2 linked regions of the Notamacropus eugenii genome follow. The protein of the gene in region 1 binds, or shares a complex with, the protein of each later gene. Links are inferred from orthologs where the notes say so. Each region holds a gene or a part of one and is shown on either strand. Other genes may lie near its edges. The genes, in order: PHF20 and KANSL2.

The links.
Region 2: PHF20 (region 1) and KANSL2 share a complex: the UniProt entries of both Homo sapiens proteins name them as parts of the NSL complex. The link is inferred for Notamacropus eugenii from reciprocal best matches to the Homo sapiens genes PHF20 and KANSL2.

Annotation. Positions count from the first base shown.
Region 1 is NC_092872.1:419,729,565-419,739,516, forward strand, and holds the start of PHF20 (PHD finger protein 20), read left to right. Parts: upstream 1-5,655; 5' UTR 5,656-6,816; intron 6,817-7,202; exon of another isoform or gene 7,203-7,289; intron 7,290-9,952. UniProt on the Homo sapiens protein: Methyllysine-binding protein, component of the MOF histone acetyltransferase protein complex.
Region 2 is NC_092874.1:220,435,338-220,445,302, forward strand, and holds the start of KANSL2 (KAT8 regulatory NSL complex subunit 2), read right to left. Parts: upstream 4,250-9,965; 5' UTR 4,163-4,249; intron 3,854-4,162; exon of another isoform or gene 3,627-3,853; intron 3,558-3,626; exon of another isoform or gene 3,463-3,557; 5' UTR 3,455-3,462; coding exon 3,204-3,454; intron 1-3,203. UniProt on the Homo sapiens protein: Non-catalytic component of the NSL histone acetyltransferase complex, a multiprotein complex that mediates histone H4 acetylation at 'Lys-5'- and 'Lys-8' (H4K5ac and H4K8ac) at transcription start sites and promotes transcription initiation.

The sequences.
Region 1 (9,952 bases):
GCCCAAGGCGCGGTAACTTCCCCTTCGGCCCCCAGGCCTTCCCTTCAGCTCGCCGGCTCCTCCGAGGCCACCCCTCCCCCTCCCTCTTCCCCTCCGAGGCCACCCCGGCGGCTCGGCGCGGCCGGAGGGAATCCGAGTTCCCTGGGCCCCCGGGCGGGGCCGGATCCGTGCATGAAGGAAAAAAAGGCTAGCGAAACGGAGAGTTAACAAAGCTATCGCCGAGCCCGCTTACCTGTGCGGGCTCTCAAGCAAGTGTGGTGCTCGCGTCTCGGGGAGGCGCCGCCGCTGTGGCTGCCGCCGGGGCTACTGTTAAGCCGCTGCGGCCTGGGCCCAGGCCGCGGTCCGTCCCGCCCGCCCAGCCCGAGTTTCGGGCGCTGAGGGCGGCAGGGCCGGAGCGGATCTAAAAGAGAATAATGGGATTAGAAGAGCCCGCGCGGGTGAAGCAGGGCGGCGGCTTGCGGCAAATCGGTATCCAACCGTGCGACAGTGACTGCAACTCCCTGAAATGGCGGCCGCTGCTTTCCCAGTCACACACACTCACGAACACACATATACACACACGCAAACACACACACAGACGGGGCCACACAGCGCCCCCAGCACGGGCTCTCGCGAGAAACTTCTCCGGCCACCGCGCTGACCCAATGAAGTATCGCGAGAAGTTACAGCGGCTAAGAAGCTGCTGCACAATCTCGCGCAAGAGTTGCGCCAGAGACGTGCCCCTCTCCTCCCTCCCCCGTCTCCTCCCCCTAGAAAGACAGACTCTAAATCTTCCCTCCCACCCACCCCATCCTGGGGAGGGTGAAAATCTCGCGAGAAAGGAAAGGCGCGACTAGTAGAAAGTCTGTTGGCTAGGTTGTAGTCCATCTTTTTTCGAGACCCCCCCAAGGCGAACGGTGTTTTACCGCCGCTGGGCTCCACCCAGCTTGGAGTGGGGGAGGGGTGGGACCAGGGTGGCGGGAGTTCTTTCCCCATCCGATTCCTTGCTCTCCAGATAAACTGTACGGCCAGAGCTCCGTGTGGTCTTAAGCTAAAAAGACCATTTTTTCCCCGTTAGCCAGTGAAATCCCAGTGGGGATGAGGAGCAAGGCAGGAAGACTAATGGGAAAGAAGAGCTGACGGGGGTGGGGGGGAGGGAAGGGCACGCGAGAACCGGGGCGGGGGAAGGGGGCGCGCGAGAGCCGAGAGCCGAGGGACGCGCGAGGAGGCTCTGCGCCGCTTAGCTTTGTCACTAGCTTGCGGCACCTGGCGGCGGTCCCAGTCGGGTCCCTTTCGAGGGGCCCCCTGGGGCTGGGCGGCGGCGCCGGAGAACAGCGCTCTTTCTGCTGCTCCGGCAGGAAGCTCCCCGAGCTCTTTAAACCTTTCTGCGGAAGAAGGAAGGCCTTGGCGGCTTGTGTCCACCTGTGCCCCGCCTCTCCTCCCGCTTCCTCCCCGCTGACCCCGTCCACAGATTTTCCTCTGGCCAGTCTCTAGGCAAAAACTTAAGAAAAGAACACCTCTTTACGTAGTTTTAGTTGCCAAGTAAATGTGGCTTCCCTCTTCAAAACAGACCGCCTCCTCCCAACGAGGAGGGTTTAACTGCAGTTAATATTTTGTGTGAATTCAGTGTTGGAGGAAACTGACTGGTGACTTTGTGTAAAGGTGATGCGGTTGTACTGATTTTATTGGCAATAACCCCCTTCCCTTCCTCCTCTTCCTAAGGCATCCGGCTCCTTATTGGAAATGTTACTCAGCGTTCTGGAGCAGGAGAGTGTAAAAGGAAGGAAAACAGCTTTGGCTCATTGGGTGTTTCAGACTGGATGTCAGAGATATCTCAGACTCGGTGATTCCCAAACAAAACTATCTTTCCCGGAAACCCAGATATCTTTTCCAAACTATCCATAACCTCAGCATTTTCCTCCCTCCTTCTTCATTCCAAGTATCTAATTATTGCCTGATCTTGTACCTTCTACTTCTGCAACATCTCCGAATCTGTTTGCTTCCTAAAATAGCCACCGCCCCGGTTCAGGCTCTCATCGATCACCTCGATTTGGTTATGGCGATGGCCTTTCACTAAATATTACCCCCAGTCTCTCAACCCAAACCCTCGCAGCTAGCCAGAATGATTTTCCTTGAGCACAGATCTGCAGTGTGTCATTTGACCATGTCACTGACCTACTCAAGCTTCTGTGGTTCCTTTTTATCTCTGTGATTCATATAAACTATGGCTTTTAAAAACTGCGTTTCTATGAAAAAACCAGATTGGTCTTCCTGTGCCTTACGCTTATGTCACTCCTGGTTCTTGGCCCTGGCTATTTCAAGTTTGTAATACATTCCCTTTTCCCCTTCATAGAATTCGACCCTTCCCTGTAGAATCATCTCAAGTTCTACAAAACCTTTTAAATCAACAAACTTTAAGTGCTAACTATACCCTAGGTATGCCACTAAGTACTGGAGGTGCTAAGTAAGGCAGAAATAGTCCAGGAGGCCCTGAGTTTACACAAACTGGTGAGAGAGTCATATAAATGCTTATAGTCATAACACCTACTTCATACAGAATAAGAGGTGTGGCTGAAATTGAGGGGAAGGGGATGGTGCATTTAGAGTTGGGGGGGGGCACACAGAGTATGTATCAAGAAGGCCTCCTGCAGAAGGTGATGTTCAAGCTGAATTTTGAAAGAAGCCAGCATGTCAAGAGGCAGAGGTGAGGAAGGAGATCATTCCAGGAATGGAGAGTCAGCTAGTTCCAAGGCAAGAGATGAATTATTTGAATAATAAGTTAACTCTCATACTGCCATCTACTAGTGCCAGGGTCCTCCCTCCCAAACTACTTTTGTATTTATTTTGCATTTATTCTAGGTATATCTGCATCTGTAATATGTATGTATGTGTGCATACACACATACACATGCATGTATACATACATATATACACACGTACATGTATGTGTATACATATATATACACACACACACAAATATTTTCTCCTCTGATAGTTCCATGAGAGTTGGAATTGTTTCTTTGTAGTTCACGTTGCCTATCACAGTTTCTGCCACATAACATATTTGATAAGTGCTATTTGATTGACTGTCAACTTTCTCTTTTTTTCCCCAAAATAGATGCATATAATTACAATCTAAGCAAGGACATCTGCTCACCTCATTTATTTAAATAGGGCATCTTAATTATTTATTTTACATATAATATAGGGTAAAGTTCCCTGCTCACAGTCACACAATTAGTAGTAAGTAGTAGAACTGAGTTTTGAACATGTTTTCTCTTACTCCAAATCCTGTCCTCTTTTAACTATAGATCCTTTTCTGCAATTGTGAAGAACCAAGGTGACTCAGAATTGAGCTTTATGGTACTGGATTAATGTTATCTAGAGGAAGAAACAAGTTTTCTGATTATCGAAGCCTTAGTTTATAGCACCCTTAAATCACTTCTCAGTGTACCTAGAAGACTTTGGCAATTTGGAAAAATACTACATTGATGAATGTGCCCTAAACAAAGACCAAAAAAAAGCCCCAAATCTAAGATGCTTCTTGCTTAATCCTTTGATTCTAAGTTTCAAAGGAAATAACATAAATCTAAACTTTTACTTTGTAAATCATTACTCTTTTTATATCATCTGGTATCTGTGTCTCCAGTCTGTGCTTTCTTAAAGAGGTATTCAATCATGCAGTTGGGAGGCTTTTGGGGTAAGAGGAAGAATGTGAAGGTATGTTTTGTGGTCAGCACTCTAGGCTCCTTAAAGTACAAGCAAGGGAACACATTACATTTTTAGAAACTTAGACATGGGAGATTTTACAGAGTAAACTGGATGAGGCACACAGAGTCAAAGAAAATGTGATCTTTAGGGGGAAGATGTTAAGAGTGGACTTAAGCATTTGATTACAGAGCTTGTAGGGCCTTTGGCCACTGGTTACATTAATTAGAATAGGATCTTTCCTATTTCCTCACCCTGGAGATGGCATAACCCAGTTGAGTATCTCCCATCACCCTATTTTCCCTTCTCCAGCAGTGTCCTTGCCTCTCTGTGGATGTATGGGCCCCCCCCCCCCCCCAATCTAAATTGACTGAATTTCTTAATGCTTGCTCTGGGTGCTGAAGTTGCTAGCTAGCAACTTTGAAGGAATGATAAGAGCTAGTACAGGAGAAAGTCATAGAAAAAAAGAACATTTTTATCCTGACTTTATGATAACAATGGCTCATATTACATGCAAGTCATAATAAAAAGAAACCTGATAACTATCACACAATATATTGTCAAAAACTTGTTTTTAATTAACCTTAATAAGAATCTATTGATAATGAATCTTAAGATGGCACAAATAATAACTTCTATAATATTTGTAAACATCTCATGCTATGAGAGAAAAGTATTATCACTTTCATTTTGCACAGGAAACTGAGGCCTAGGCTTATGAAGGAATTATTCATTGTTAATGTGGCTAGTGAGTGTCTTAGGGCAAAATTAGAATTCAGGTTTTCCTTACTTTAGGTCTACCTAATTACTAAGTTTAGAAAGTGGGATTTGGATTCAAGGCTCTCCCAACTCTTAAGTCCAGCACTTTTTCCACAACACCATATATGAAACCCTATAAAGCATTTCAAAGAAGAGTTCTCTCAGGGATTCTGAGCAACAAGTATGACATTCTCCGATTGTGCTTAAGATTACTGACCTTACAAAATGAGAATCCTTTAACACAGCTCCATTAAGTAGGATGTATACAAGATCAATATCAGTGGGAGAGTTAAGTACCTAGTAGAATTGATATTACAGTTGATACTGTAAGCTAGTAAGGGAGAAAAAATATCTTCAGGATACTGCTCACACTGGAGTCCTTGGAGGCAAAATTTGATAATTCTGAGGAAGCAAAAGCAAAGTAACTTGACATACCTTCTCACCTCTCAAGGAAGCCATTCCACTTTTAGATAGCTCTGATGGTTAGGAAGATTTTTTTTTCTTAAATCAAGCACATTAAGAGGAACATTTAGGTCTGATGTAGGAAAGAAATTCCTAGTAATTAACTAGAACTGTCTAAGGATGGGTTACTGGGAGGAGTAATGCATTGATTCAAGTTCTTTTAGCAAAGACTGCATGACCACTTGTTGGGTATGACATGGAGGAGATAACTGTTTAGTTTGAGTCAGAAGATAACTATCTTTAAAAAAAAAAGAGTCTCAGTAATGCAGAGTGAAGAAAGCAGAATTAGGAAAACAATATACACAATGACGACAATAATATAAACAGGAAGAACAAATGTAAATACAAAATGGCTCATATTACATACAAGTCATAATAAAAAGAAACTCGATAACTATCACACAACATATGGTCAAAACACTAATTATAGTGACCAAGCTTCTCACTAAAGAGGAAATGGGAAAATGTACTTCCTTTCCTTCTTTACAGAGGTGGAGAACTATGGGTGTGGATCATTGTATATACTGTCAGACTTGGTGAACAAATTGGTTAGTTTTACTGAAATGCTCCCTGCCCTCCTTTTCTAATTTTTGTTTCAAGAGATGACTCTCTGGATACTCATTATGGCAGGGACATATCAAAAATGAAGGAGATGCAAAAACAAGAGATCAGTTTTTAAAAAGAAGATGGATCTTGTAGAATCAATAATATTTAAGGACTTGAAAGAACCTTAGAGAACATGTTTTTCAATTCTTTTTGTTTTATTAGGAACCCAAAGCTCAGAGAGTTAAATGACTTGTCCAAAGGCTTATAAACTAAGTGATCAGGTTCTACTTAAGTATCTGAATAAAACATCCAACTTCAAATGTAACATTTTACTGTGCAGCCATTATAAGATCATTGTAAAATTAAGTTCATTGACCTAGATATCTTCCTCTGAAATTTGTATACAATTTGAATTTAATTTTCTATATTCATGCTGCTTTCCCCCACTAGTCTGTAGACTCCTTAGGGAAGAGACCATTTTGTCTTTGTATCCCTAGCCTTTGGTATCCAGTTCCTGAAATATAAGTAGTGTTAGTAAATGTTTGTTGAACTGAATTAGAAACAAAAAATAAAATTAGTTTTTTCAAGAAACAAATCTGGGTTTTAGTTCCAGTTTTGTCATTTACTAGCTGGGTGGACATGTCTAGATCAAAAAACCTCCCTGGGCTTCAGTTTCCTCCTCTATAGAGTGGGGATGAGAATGATTGGAGCTTCCTTCACAGGGTGCGAGGAAAGTTTTGCTTTGTAAGATGTAAAGGAGTGTGGAGCTTTTAATTATCTTTTTGTGCACTAACCCACATCCCCGGGCTGTGAGAACCTTCGGAAAGACTAATTGGCTCTGTTGCCTTTCCGTGACATCTCCACCACTGACTCAGTGACCTGTCAAAGTCAGGACAAACCAAGAAACTGGCAACATCTTAACATTGTATCCCCAGCTCCCTTCAGTTACACTTTCAGATGCACACTGGATCTTGTACATCAGGATGGTCCTAGACTCTCGGGTTAGCCCGGAAGCCTCCAGCTGGCCAGCTGGGCAGTCCTAAGCAGTCATGAACTTAACCTCCGAGAGCTTTCTCATTAGTGAAACAGACGGTAGAGCCAGGAACGCCTTAGCAAGGCTGCGTAAGGCTCAAACAGCATTTTGTAAAGCTGAGGGCATACACATCATGGGTCCAGTTACCTCGCGAATTTGTTATGGGGTGCAACGAGATTTAGGGCTGGAAGAACTGAGACTTAGTTGCCCGACACGGGGACAATGATTTGGTTTATCCACGACGGCGTTTCGAGGAAGGTCCACTTCACAAAGCGCTGTGAATTTAGGGTGACTTGGATGTGAGCGAGTTCTCATCTCTCCAGTCCCAGGTATCCGAATCGCGCGGTCCGATTCACGGGGCTTTGGCCACACACTTCAGAGCGCCGTGTCGTGCCCACTATTCGTGGTTTCACGGCTGGACTTGGGTTTTTTTAGGACGTCCACTTTGCACATTCTGTGGCGTCGAGTGGGACTCCGAACTGCGCTGGGAAGGAGGGTCTCCATGGCAACTCCGGGAGTCGCGGCGCGGGTTTGGGGAAGGTGAGGGACCAGGCGAGGAAAGTGAAGTGGGGGGAGAAAAGGGGGCGGGGGGCGGGGCTCCTTCGGAGGATCGGGCGCGTGGGCCGAAGGAGCTGCGTCACATAGCGGTGGCGGTGCTTGGGGTGGGGGGTAGGGAGGGGAGGAGCGGAGAGAACGAGGGGGGGAAGGCTGGGCGCGCCCCTCGCAGGTCACGTGATGCCGAGCACGCAGTCGTCTTCTGTCCGTTGGTCCTGGAGCGGCGCAGCCGGAGCGGGGCCGTGAGGTGAGCTCGCGGCCAGGATGGGAGGCCTGGCCGCCTGCGGGGTGGGGGCGGGGGGCGGGGGTGGGGGATGAGCTCTGGAACTCTGGGCCCGAGGCTCCCCTGGCTTCCCTCCGCCCAATCCCGCTGCCCACCCGCACCGCGGAGGCCAGGGCACTTCTGCCGGGAGCGTGGCGGCGTGAGAGCGGCGCCCAATCTCCGGGGCGCCGGGGGGACTGACGGCGGGCTCGGCCAATCGGCGCCGCCCCGATGGGGGCTGGTACGCGGCGCCGCGGGGAGCGGAGCGCGGGGCTGGCTGGCGGGGGGAGGGGGCCACGGCCGAGCGGGGCCACTTCCCTCCCGCATCTGTTGTGTGCAGCTTCGGCTCGGGAAGATTCCCCCCCTCCCTTGGCTCCCCTCTGCCCCTTCGCGGGCGGTGCACCCCTCTTTGCTCCAGGAGGGAATGTGCCCCCCCTTCACTCTTCTTCCCCATGGGGGAGTGCGCTCCCTTTACTTGTCTCGTGGGAGGAGTGTGCCCCCCCTTGGCTCAGTCCTTTTTCGGGCGGGGAAGTGCTTCCCCCCTTTCCTCTATTGGAGGAGTGCGGTCCCCCCCATCTCTTTCTCATAGAGGAAGTGCTTCCCCCTCTTTCCTAAGCTCTTTTCCGCACGGCGAAGTGCGCCTCCCCTTTTGCTAATCCCCTTTTCCTCCTAGAAGTGGCCCGTCTTTGCTTAGCACTTGCCCTTGGCGGGGAAATGCATCCCCGTCTGTTTCTCAGGTCTTCCCCTTTCCCCCCTCCTTTTTGGGACTACATTCCCCCCCATTCCGTGGCCCCCGCTCACAGTGATTCTGGGGAAACGCAGACAACCTCCGAGCCCCGTGATTTCCAGAGCGGAGCAGGGCCCCTTTCTGGCTTCTCCGCCCTGGTGCCCTGCTAGGTGTAGGCAGTCCAGGTTGGCCGCAGCTCCAGCCCGGGCCCCCTGCTGGGTTGAGGTAACTGCCTCTATGCTGCCCGAGGCGGTCTGGAGTCAAGGACGAGCTGCTCTCCGAGCTCAGATTCATTCGGAATTGAAACGATTGGAGTTGGGAAGAGCCACTCTTCTCCCCACCCATCTGTGGTGGGAAGCCATCCCTGCTTCCTTCACCTGGATTTTTACGAAATCTCAGATTCTCTAGCCCAGCATCTTGCATACTGGGCTCTTCTCCACGTGTCCTCTGCCCCTTCTCACCAGGAAGAAATCCCAGAAGTGCCATTTGGCGGCAGCTTGTCCAGTTTCACCCCTGGACAACTTCGGGATAACATTTCATCTTCTACATTGGAGGAATATGAAGTATTGGCTGTGACGAGATTCCTTTGCCGTTTGCTGGCCAGTTTGCCTCCACCTCCCTTTTCCCATTAAGACCCTACCTCTTCAGAGATGGTGAAAGCTTCCTGTATTTTAGTAAAATATTCCTCCAGCATTCTTAGTTTCTTCCCTTCTTTGCCTGCTTTCTCCCCAATCTTATAAGAAACTATAAAAAACTTTAAATTAACCAGTATTTTCAGAATTAATATTCTGAAATGGCATATTAATAAAATGTGGGTTATATGTGCATGTTGACCATATAACCGTAAATTATAATAAATTGAAATTTTAAATCAGATCACTTACATCATTAGGGAAGAGTGGTGTTATATTTTAGTTATTTCTGAGCCATGACTGATAAAGTATTATGTATGAAAAGTGCCTCTGGATTCTGTCTCTGACTTAAATCTGTGGATTAAGCCATTCTGTATTTCTTCTCTATTATGGGATGCTCTAGCCTTAAAGCACTTTACAAAGGCCAGTTTTTTTTGTTAGATATTAGATGGTAGAGATAAGGTAAGATAGGAGTTAGCAATTGTTTTTTCTCCTTTTCTGACTAATCCACTTCTACTTAGTTTTAGAAAAATCAGTCAAAAGTTCTCTAATAGTTTGCCATGAGTGCTGTCAAAATTGTAAAACGTCTAAATATTTCCTTTTGTATAATACAGTGACACTATATCTCAATACATTTTATTATGTTAAAGTCAGTTAATAAAATTATTCTTTGTCATAAGTTACAAAAATTTTGTGTATTTTTATTTCTCTAATAGTAAATTTTGTGGAGGCCAACATCTTGGGAATAATGAACTGTTTGGGGACTGTTTTTGATTTCTCAACATTCTTCTGTGTGGCATAGGACCATCACCCTTCCATATTTGACAGATGAACAGGCAGCACTTCCCAAGAGGGTCTTCTGAATTTGTGAGAGTTTGGCACAGAAATGAAGCCAGTTGAGAAGAAAGGGAACTAGAAAGCTCTATATTGAAGGGTATTTGATATATTAGCTTTCTAATGCTTTACAGGAAAGTGAAATTTCTTAAGAGAGACAGTGGCACCCTCCCCTGTTCATGAGAACATGGAGTTCAGAATGAGAAAGAAAAAAAACAGGGTCAGAACCTGAGAAGGCACTTTAGAGATTGTCTAGTCTAACCCATTAATTTTACTGGTGAGGAAATGGACTCAGAGAAAGAAAATAGCAATGTGGCAAGCTGTCTGTAATTCTATTGGAGAAATCTCTTAGTTCTTCCTTTTCCTACTTTCTACTATTTCCCAGTATAGTGATCCTTTGTTGAAAACAATCTTATTCCATGGTCAGATCTCTGCCAAACTGCTCTTCTGGAGCA
Region 2 (9,965 bases), on another chromosome or scaffold:
AATGAGTTGTTTTAGACATGAATCTGATATGCCTCTCAGCCATTTAGAAATGTCTAGTTGCTAACACAAAGACTACAGCTCAGGAGAAACAGATATAAGAATCATCTGCAGAGAAATAATTGATCCCTAAAAAAGCTGATGAGATCACTGAAAGTATATAGAAAGAAGAAATGAGAATCCAGGACAGAGCCTTGGGGCAGCCTCACAGTTTAGGGGTAAGGCAGAGAGATAACAGCTAGATAGGGCAGGAGGAAATCCAAGAAAGAGGATAGTGCTATGGAAACCCAGAAAGTAGTGTGAATGCTGCAGCGTCATCCTGCAGCGTCAGTGCTGCAGAGATGAAGGATGAGGACTAAGAGAAGGTCCCAAGATTTGGGGTCCCAGTACGTGCATGTATGCATGTGCACAAACTCTTCTGAACTAAATTGTGAGCTTTTGGAGGGAAACACCTGTGTAATGCATCTTTGCATCCCCTACAGCAGCTAGTACAATGGTACTAATATAGTACCATTAAACGAATGAATGAGAAAAGCTCACTCAAAATATAATTTTGTAAGAAGCCTTCCTAGATTGGCTTACTTGTATTTCAGCATTTTTATCTTGCCATTCTGTACTTGCTAACATGTTACTTGGTAGTTACTCTCAAATTTTGTACCTTTTGACATATTAAGATCATAAAATCTCAGAGGGCATGAAATAGAACTTCTAATCCTTTCATATCCTACCCAAAGTGTGTGTCATTCTTCACACAATAGATACTCAAATTTTAATTAACTGTTAATTACAGGAAGAGAATTGAGAGGAAATGATCTTAAATTACACTATGAAAGGAGATTGAGAAGCAAGGATATTATTAACTCCTAATAACAATGTTTCATTGTAGTGTAGAAGTGATTCTGATTTTTCCAAAATATGTCTTTCATAGGCCAATATGCTCTTCAAGTTGGAAAATAACAGATCACATCCAACTAGCCAGTGATCCATGAAACAGAAAAAAATACTATAAAGGTCTTCAGTCCTGCAGGATTCCCTCACTCAGACATGACCCCAGTCAGGGCCTTCCATCACCTTTTGTCTGCACTACTGCAATAGCTTCCGACTGCTTATCCCTCCACCTCAAGCCTCTTCTCATTCCAACCCATCCTCCATTAAACTGCCCACGTGATATTTTTTAAAGCCCAAGTCTGATATGACCTTTTCATATCCCCCTTGCTGCTCAATGAGCCCAGTGGATCCCTATTTACCTCTGGAATCAAATATGATTGGCATGTAAAGCATCTATTTATAATCAGACTCCTTCCTATCTTTCCAGGTTTCTTTCATTAGTGTGGCCTACTTATTGTTTTTCCAAGGTAATGCTCCATCACCTACCTCTGTGCCTTTGCACTTACTGTTCCCCATGCTTAGAATACTGTCTCCTCACCTTAGCCTCTTAGTTTCCCTGGCTTCCTTTAAGACAGAGTTCAAGCCCTACTTCTTTAGGTGACCTTTCTCAGATGCTTTAGCTACTGGTCCCTTCCCTTTGGGATAACTTTCATCTACTCTGTACAGTAAATATCTCCTAGGTGCCTAGTTATTTAGATGTTGTCTTCACTAAAACGTACATTTCTGAAGGGCAGGGATTAATTTTGCCTTTCTTTGCATCCACAATATTCAGCACAATCCTTGGCACATAGAAAAACTTAATGTTTCTTGATGAACTGATGTTCAACACTGCCCTGAAATCACTGCAAAGTAACTTTAGTTAATTCATCATAAATAATCCCCACTAAAATTCATCAAACTTTTTCTGAGTCATCCAGTGACCCATTTATAACATCATTTCCATGTAACTAACTGCCCCACAACACTGTTTCATCTAACCTGGTGTTTACACAGAACATCACATTAGTTTGTTACTGCATTCTTGTAATTTTTGTGCCAAGAATACTTTTCCACCTTCTCCAACCCCCTTCTTCACCATTCCTTGATTAAAAAAAAAAAAATCACCTTAATGATATTTCCTGCTTTGAGCATACCTGTAAAATACTTCCTTTTTGTTCTTAGTAATTACAATTTCAGACAACACTCCATGCTAAGCTAAAAGTAACAGCTCTCAGAATGGGGCGGGAGCAAAGTTAAGCCTTTGCAATTAAAAAAAAATATTTTCTCAATAGAATTATGCTATGGGTGAGAATGACTGGTAAGGTAATTTTCAAGGACTAATATAAGTACAAGCCTCTGGACAATAAAGAAAAATATATGGCAATGAAGAAAAAAATCAGAAGGTTAATTTTCAAAAAGATCACTTAGCTTCACCTCATGATAGTGAAACCCTACGCAATAGCCAATGCAAATAACTAATCAAAGGAGAGACTGAATGAACTATATGGCTGAATCTATGCAAATAAATGAAGACTCAGAAAAAAGACATTTGTTTTGATACAGATGATGAGATTATCAAGATCAACAATTAAGGTATCTCGATCATAACTTCTGAAAAAAGTCTTAAAGATAATTAGCATTAGCAACATACGCAAATAAGGTACTATCTATATATATAAATATGTATGTGTATATATGTATAAATAAACATTTTGAGCACAGTACTTAATTTTACCGCAATCAGTTATGTCATTCACACTTTCCCAATACCAACCTGAGGATCATCTGGTTCAATCTTGAAGAAAAATACCTAAAAGTGTCTCAAGAACATGGCCATGCTTCTTTTACTCAGCTTGCCACCCCTATACGTTACCTACAGCCTATATATGAGGGACACTGAGTAAAAATGTAACAAGTGGATTACAAAGCCTGTACAGGAAAATAAGATAAATTCTCCAAACTAACTACAAATTCCTTACCATAAGGTGACTCACTATTTACATAACACCTTTCTGGGAAAGAGTTCAAAGCATTTCCTCACCTTATTTTCTACGAGCGTAAGAAGTGAAGGTTACCCCGGTGGTAAGACACACACAAAGACGGACAACGTTAGTCACATGGGCTCGTTATTAACAAAAGTTTGAGACACAGCAAACATTCTACCTCGCCTAATAAAACATTCAGCAGCTCCAGGGTCACTTTAGAAAAGCCAGCACCCACCGCCTTCAGCTCGCCGTCTCTACACCCCAAGGCACCACAACGGAAAAACCCCCACACCGCTCCCTCGTCAAACCCTCCCCCAAAACGAAGCCCGATCAAACAGACAAAAAGCCACAAACCCATCTTTCTTCTCGGGCTTGGGGCCGGCGTTGGGGCATCTCTTCCCATTCTTGGTGGATATGTAGCTACATTGCTTGAAAGGGGCATTCCTGTCTTCAAGGATATGCTTAATGCAAAACTCCTGCCCTTCGAGCCGGGGCTGGGAGCATGGGCGGTGTGAGAAGGAACAAGACAGCGGCTCCTGGGACCTGGGCACTGGGTTGACGCGCCCCCGATTCGATGGCAGGACGTGGATCCGAATTCTGTTCATACCAACACCTGCGGAGGGAAGAGGGGAGACACCGCACGCGGAGAGGTCAGGGTGCCCAAGCCGCCTCCGTGGCCCTTCCCCCACTCCCAGCCAAGCCCCGACATTCACAACTCAAGAAGCAGCGCTTCTCCTTTTAAGAAAAAGAACTAAGGTCAAAGCCTGTCTCACGTACCCCAAGCCGGCCTACTACGGGCCAGCCCCCGGAGTCTTGCCTGAACTACTCGAGAGCTCGGCTTCTCCCGCGGCTTCCCTTTCTCGAGGGGCCTCCACTACCACGCATGTGCGCTGGCTCGGCTGCCCGGGCCTCGCTCTCCCCAGCTCCCTTTCTTAAGAAAAAAACCAAGCCAGCTCTCGAGGATCTCGCCCGCCCTCCCCAGTCTCGCGAGGCCGGCTCCAGCACCGCGCCCTCGGGCTCCCTCCCCGCGGCTTTGCCCCGCCCCCCTGCCGAGCCCGACCCTCCCCCCACCCGGACCCCAGCCTGCCCACGGAGACTCCAGCGAACGCCATTTTGACCCAGGGATCAGGGAGTCCACAGAATCCTTTTCGAAGAGGGATGGGCCAGGTATGGGAAAAAAAGAAATTTTAAAGCCCCGTCAAAGGTCGCCGCCACCTAAGCTCAAGTCTCGGCCCCCGATGGAGCCGAAAGGAGAAAGACAAAGGTGCCGTCCGGCCACCAGAAGAGTAAACCAGCTGACGCCGCCATCTTACCTCTACGGCCTGGCTGCTAGTCCTCAAGTGGCGCCCCACCGCCCTCTAGCTCAGCTGGCCCCGCCCCCTAGCGGTCGATTGGCTCCTTGGCTGGAGGGTGCCGCCACACCATTGGCGGAATGCTCACGTCCGTCAGACCTGGGAGGGTGTTGCCCTGGGAGGAAATGGAGTGGGAGTGGGGGTGGGGGTGGCTGGAACGGATCGTTTCTCTGCCGTTAAAGCTGGTGGGAGGGTGAGCCAGAGAGGATCAAAGGTTCGCGGGCTTTTGAAGGTTCCGCGGAGCCCGCGCCGGCTATTAACTAGGTACCGGACTGCAGCAGGGACTTCCGTTGGGAGTTTCCCGAGAGGGAGGCGCTACATTGTAACTTCCCCTCGGCGCCACGTGGGCCTTAATAAAAGTTGGCCAAACGCTGTGTGTTGGCACGATCATCCACCCACCGTGACTGCAGACGGGCAGCCGCGTGCAGTGGGTAGAAACCCGGCCTGAAAGGTCGGAAGACCAGGGCGCAGGTCCCACTCCTGACATATTTGCGTGTGAGCCGAAACAAAGACGTCCAGATTCTCAGCCCTCTAGGCAGTATAAATAACCAAAAAAGAGGTTTCCCCCACAGGAATGGTCCCTGTCCATTCCGGTGCTCGGCTTGGTCCCATTATACTGCTCTGGGTCCTCAGTAAGATCCATGGGCACTCAAAAAGGCCGAGCACGCCACACAGAGAAAAAATGTAGATCAATAATGCAAATGATATTAATAATATTTCTGCAGCACAACATAATATCTCATTTGGTTTCCACGGTAACCCTGTGAAAGGAGGCACCACGACTACCTTCATTTTATGGACATCCGTGAAAGAAGCTCCTAACAGGGACCCTGGCCACCCTTTCCAGGTGAATTGGAATATTCCCCTTTCCTCCTTCCAGTCTCTCCTACCACCATCATTTAGCAGCTTTTCTTCTGAGGTTCATCCAGTCTATATCACCCAAAAGAGATTCTGGTGACTGCTGTCTTCTGACCTCCATGACACCTGGCTGCTTTCCAGGCTGCAAGCTGTTCCTTCCTCAGCTCCAGCCTCATACTAATGAACTTTGAACACATTGATATTGCCTTAAACACCCTAACCTCGAAATTCCTCTACTCATTTCCAATGACCAGTTGGTCCAGTGGCCATTTCCAATAATCATACCACCTTACCTCCACCCAGGGTTGGTCATGCCCTTCATCTTGCTATCAGGCATTCAATTTCTGTGCTTATGAGCCTGGAAATTCACTTCTCTGATTACCGTCTGTCATTCCAACTTCCCTTTGCCATCAGTTCATAACTATTCTTAATCCCATCCCTCTACTCCCTCCACCCCTCAGTTCTTTCCTAGGCCATCACCTCTAAACTGGCTACATTCCTGCACTATTTGTGAAGATCAAACAAATATAACTAAGGCGCTTTTCCCAAAAAACCTTGTTTCAGTGCTATATAAATTCAGCTAAAAATCAGGAAACATCACAACCCCTGAAAAATAAAAAGCTGTAGGTCATGTAAATGGCAATGGAGAGACTTTTGATGGGAATTAAGACACCATCCCAAAAATGCATGAACAGACAAGGAGGTGGGCTACTCTTAACAGCTGGAGAGTCTGAATGTTTCTAAGGTACACATAGGAGGTTAAAAAGGGCAAGAGGAGGGCACATTAGATTCCAATGAAAAATTTATAGGAAAATATGGACAAGATCTGCACAGGATGAAAGGACATGGAAAGGCTACAATCTGCATGATGGAGGAAGTGCCCACATTGGTAACAACATGGATCCACAGACTACACTCTTCCATTTGCCATGTATAAAGCCCTCCACAACCTGGTCCTCATGTACCTTTCCAGCCTTTTTATACATTGCCTTTTCTGCACACTGAAGCAATTCAAATAGCCCTTCCTACTATTCCTTACTGGTCGATAGCACTCCATCTCTGTGGAGCTGTCCTGGATACTGGGAATGAACTCCCTCCTCACCTCCAGGTCTTAGAATTCCAATTTTCTTCCAGCTCAGCTGAAGCTCCACCTTTTACATTTTAAGTGTGGGTTTGAAATTACTTCACCCCATTTTAGCTCTGATGCCTTAACTAGGTGAGAATACATATTAATAAATCAATCAAATCACTTCAACTAAATGTGAAAAATCATTGAAAGCTACTGGATGAAAGTGTAATAATGTCAAAAAGGAACTCAGTTCCAATAGGCTGGGGAAAATGGTTGTGCCTCAGGGATTGTCTATAAATTAGCAAGTGAGTTGAGAACATGTGGCTTTTCCAGCACACCTCTGATGAGCAAAGGCAGGAGAAGAGTGGAATATCCAGGCTGGGGGAAGTCACAAGAAAAACTCTCTTCTTTCCACAACATCATTCCCCAGTGCTTTTCTATTCATGTGACATAATTTCCTGTTTTCATTACCCAAAAGTTTCCAGTGTGCTGCATTTTGTCTCAATCACAAAGAGGTCAAGGGTTAACTAGAGATAGCTATAAATATAACATGAGGCAGAACTCCCAACATCTGCCTAAATGTTGGGAATTTTCCTAACTGGAGCCTCAGAAGGATAATAACTGAATTCATAAATTTTCCTATATTTCCTCAGGGGCCATTATATTGCTTCCTGGGCTTTAAATAAAGCTATCATTGTAACAGTGTTACAACATAAAACCAGTCAGTATCCCTTCCATCAACCTAATTAATTTGTATCTAATTTATATATACCTATATGTGTAGGGAAACATTGGCGATCAGTTGATGGTGGTGGATATGAAGTCCCTAGTACCCTAGTACCTCTTTGTATGAACCCTTGGAGTCATGGGGCTATGACTGTAACTGAAAAGGCAGTCTTTTTCCTCCATCCATCTTAAAGATAACAAGAAGCCAGAATCCCTGGAAAGGAAAGAAGTTTGTCAGGGGGTAGCCAATGATCCCAGAGCATGCTATAACAAACAAGAAAACCTTCAGCTGTGTGTGAAAGCAAGAGGGCTGCCACTGCACTTCACTCTTCTAATTCCACTCCCTCCACTGGGGCAACACAAGACTATTGTGGTTAGTTCTGGGTTTTGTTTTTTTCCACAAATTGAGCGAGATCTAGGTCTAAGGATAACATTGATATTGCAGCTGCTGCCGTAAGCAGGAGTGAAACGTGAAACTACCCAGAATCACTGCAGAAAATACTGCAGCTATCTTCATTTGAAAGGAATTACAGATGGTGGAATCCCCCTCTCCCTTCTATCTCCTGGGGAGATCCCAACATCATCTCTTTTCTTTAAGTTTATATTTATATTAAGTTTATATTAAGTTTATGTTTTAAATTTCTGTTCACCTGGTCTCTAAAGCCTTACATTAATATAAAACCAAGGTTAATCCAACACACTATGAATTTCATTTGCTCAGAACCATCCAGAGTGAAGTTATGGTCAACACAGATTGAGAGAAGGAAACTCTAAATTGCCAGAGATTTATTTGGTGGGATCTTGGAACAAAACCAAAGAGATTTTTTTTTTAAAGGCATTATTTCAATTCCTCAAAGCAGAGAAACAGATTAAGCCACATAATTTTTTTCCAGACTATCAAGGATTCCCCTGGGTACAAATGAGTTAATAGAATTAGAGGGGAAGAGTCTTTGTAAACTGAAGCTTTCTCCAGAGAAGGTTTGGGAGGGCCTTGGACAATTTTCCTTTCCTATTGGTTTCCGTTCATACAGCAGGTTCAAGGAAATACCCATCCTTGTCTCAACTTGGCAGAAGGCTAGGTTAGAGTTAAGACTGAAAGGAGACGTTGGGAGGGGGTGGGAGGTGGAGAGAGTGGAATGGCTGTATTCACTGAAAGTAAAGGAAGGTCAGATAGAGGGAGGAACTAGTTCTTTTCAGTCCTCATTCCAGCCCCCATAGCCACAAGTGAAATCTTATCTTGGGATCTTTTTTCTATTTTTAACTTTTAATTTTTTTCTCCACTTGGGCGTTTAAATATTTTATTAGTTCTTTCCACTTGCTTCTTTTAAGCAGAATTCTGTGGTATTATTGTTACTGAACATCTTATTTTTGATCATTTTTATTGTTCATTTTCATGCTCATTTCAATTTCCCTTTGTTGATTTGAAACAATTTAATTTAGCTCACTGGTTTAGCCATTATTGGGGAAAGTTGTCTGTTAGATTTTATAATTTTAACACATTCCTCCTGTACACTCTTCTTTTTGTGATATTTTCTGCATCATTTCTGTCTTGTCTTTTCTGTCACTGAATTTTTTAATTTGATTTTTGTTTTAACCTATTTCTGTATTTAGTTTTTTTGTATTGTTTTTAGTTTTTTATTCCCTTTGAACCCTCTGTGCCAATTCTTCTATCTGTTGTATGTACAATGTAAGGCTACTATTTAATAATCCTAACTGCAACATTTAGTGGTATGTAGTTGCGTGTCAGCTGGCAAATGGAAGGTTATTAATGTCGTTCCTGATAATTTGCATATTTGTCCTTTTATTCGGTGCTACATCTCAGTTGAGAAGCAGCATAGTGTAGTGGATAGAATAGTGATCCTGCCTCAGACATTTGCTGGCTGTGTAACCATAGGCACATAACCTCAGCTCCTCATCTGTAAAATGAGAGCGTTTGATTAAATGGCTTCTAAGGTCTCTTTCAGATATAAATCTATGGTCCTATGAATTCTCCAGAGCATCGCTTTGTAGAATCACTTAAGGTAGAAGACTGTATGACCGGCTTGTTTGTGGGGAGGCCTAATGGAAGGAAGGCTTGGGGATGTGGATGCTCCCTGCATTAGTGATGTGTGTCAACTTCTTTGTTACCAAGGTGGATTTGGCTTTCTGGTATCTGAATAAATATCTTGGTTTCATCTTTGAGGAAGAGAGTTATTTATATTTTGTGAATTTACGCTAGAAATATGCATGCAATATTCATAGTGGCTGCTATGGATATTGCATTGGCATTATATGACTCCACATGTATAATTGATATTGTAATGCTTGCCTTCTCATGGAGGGGAGGGGTTGGAGAGGCAGAATTTGGAACTCAAAATTTTAAAAAATGAATGTTAAATCTTAAAAATTAATAAACAATTTTAAAAGATAAAATTGCAGTTAATCCAATACATTATTGGTTGGTATGGATTTTATTTGTTAAAGAGCAGTTAAGAGGAGGAATATTTTTGATTATATTGAGAGAAAGAAGAATTCCCTGCTGGGAGTTCTAAATGAACCAAAGAGACAATTTATAAGTATTATTTTAACTTCCAAAGCAAGGAAAAGATTAAGCTACAAGAATCTACTCTGTTATAGATTCTCCTGAGCACAGATGAGTGAACTGTGTTAGGAAGGAGGGAAGTTTCTAAGGAGAAATCTTCTCTCAAAGCTCCTCTGAGGAAATAGACTTGGGCAATTTTCCTTTCCTATTATTGTTCCATTTACACAGTAGACTCGAGGAAATTCTTCCTAGCTCTGTCCCTCACCACTTCCCCACCCCACCCCCAGACTGAGGCTGGTGAACAGTACAAAAGTTGGGTATGTTAGAAACATAGTAAAGGTTAGAAACAAAAGGTATCAAGCAAAATTTATTACAGCAGAGTTCAGAGGAACTGAACACCTCTGGCCAAAAGTAGGCTCAGTCCCTCTTTAGGAAGGGAGAGCACTAAATACAGAAGTAAGATGAGCTATATACTGTTAGTTCAGGACAGATCCTCCCATCAGGAGATGGATTGGTCCATTCTCCATTAGGTCACCATCTTCTCTACATGCCTATTACATATCTCCTGGATATGTTCCCCCCCCCCCCCA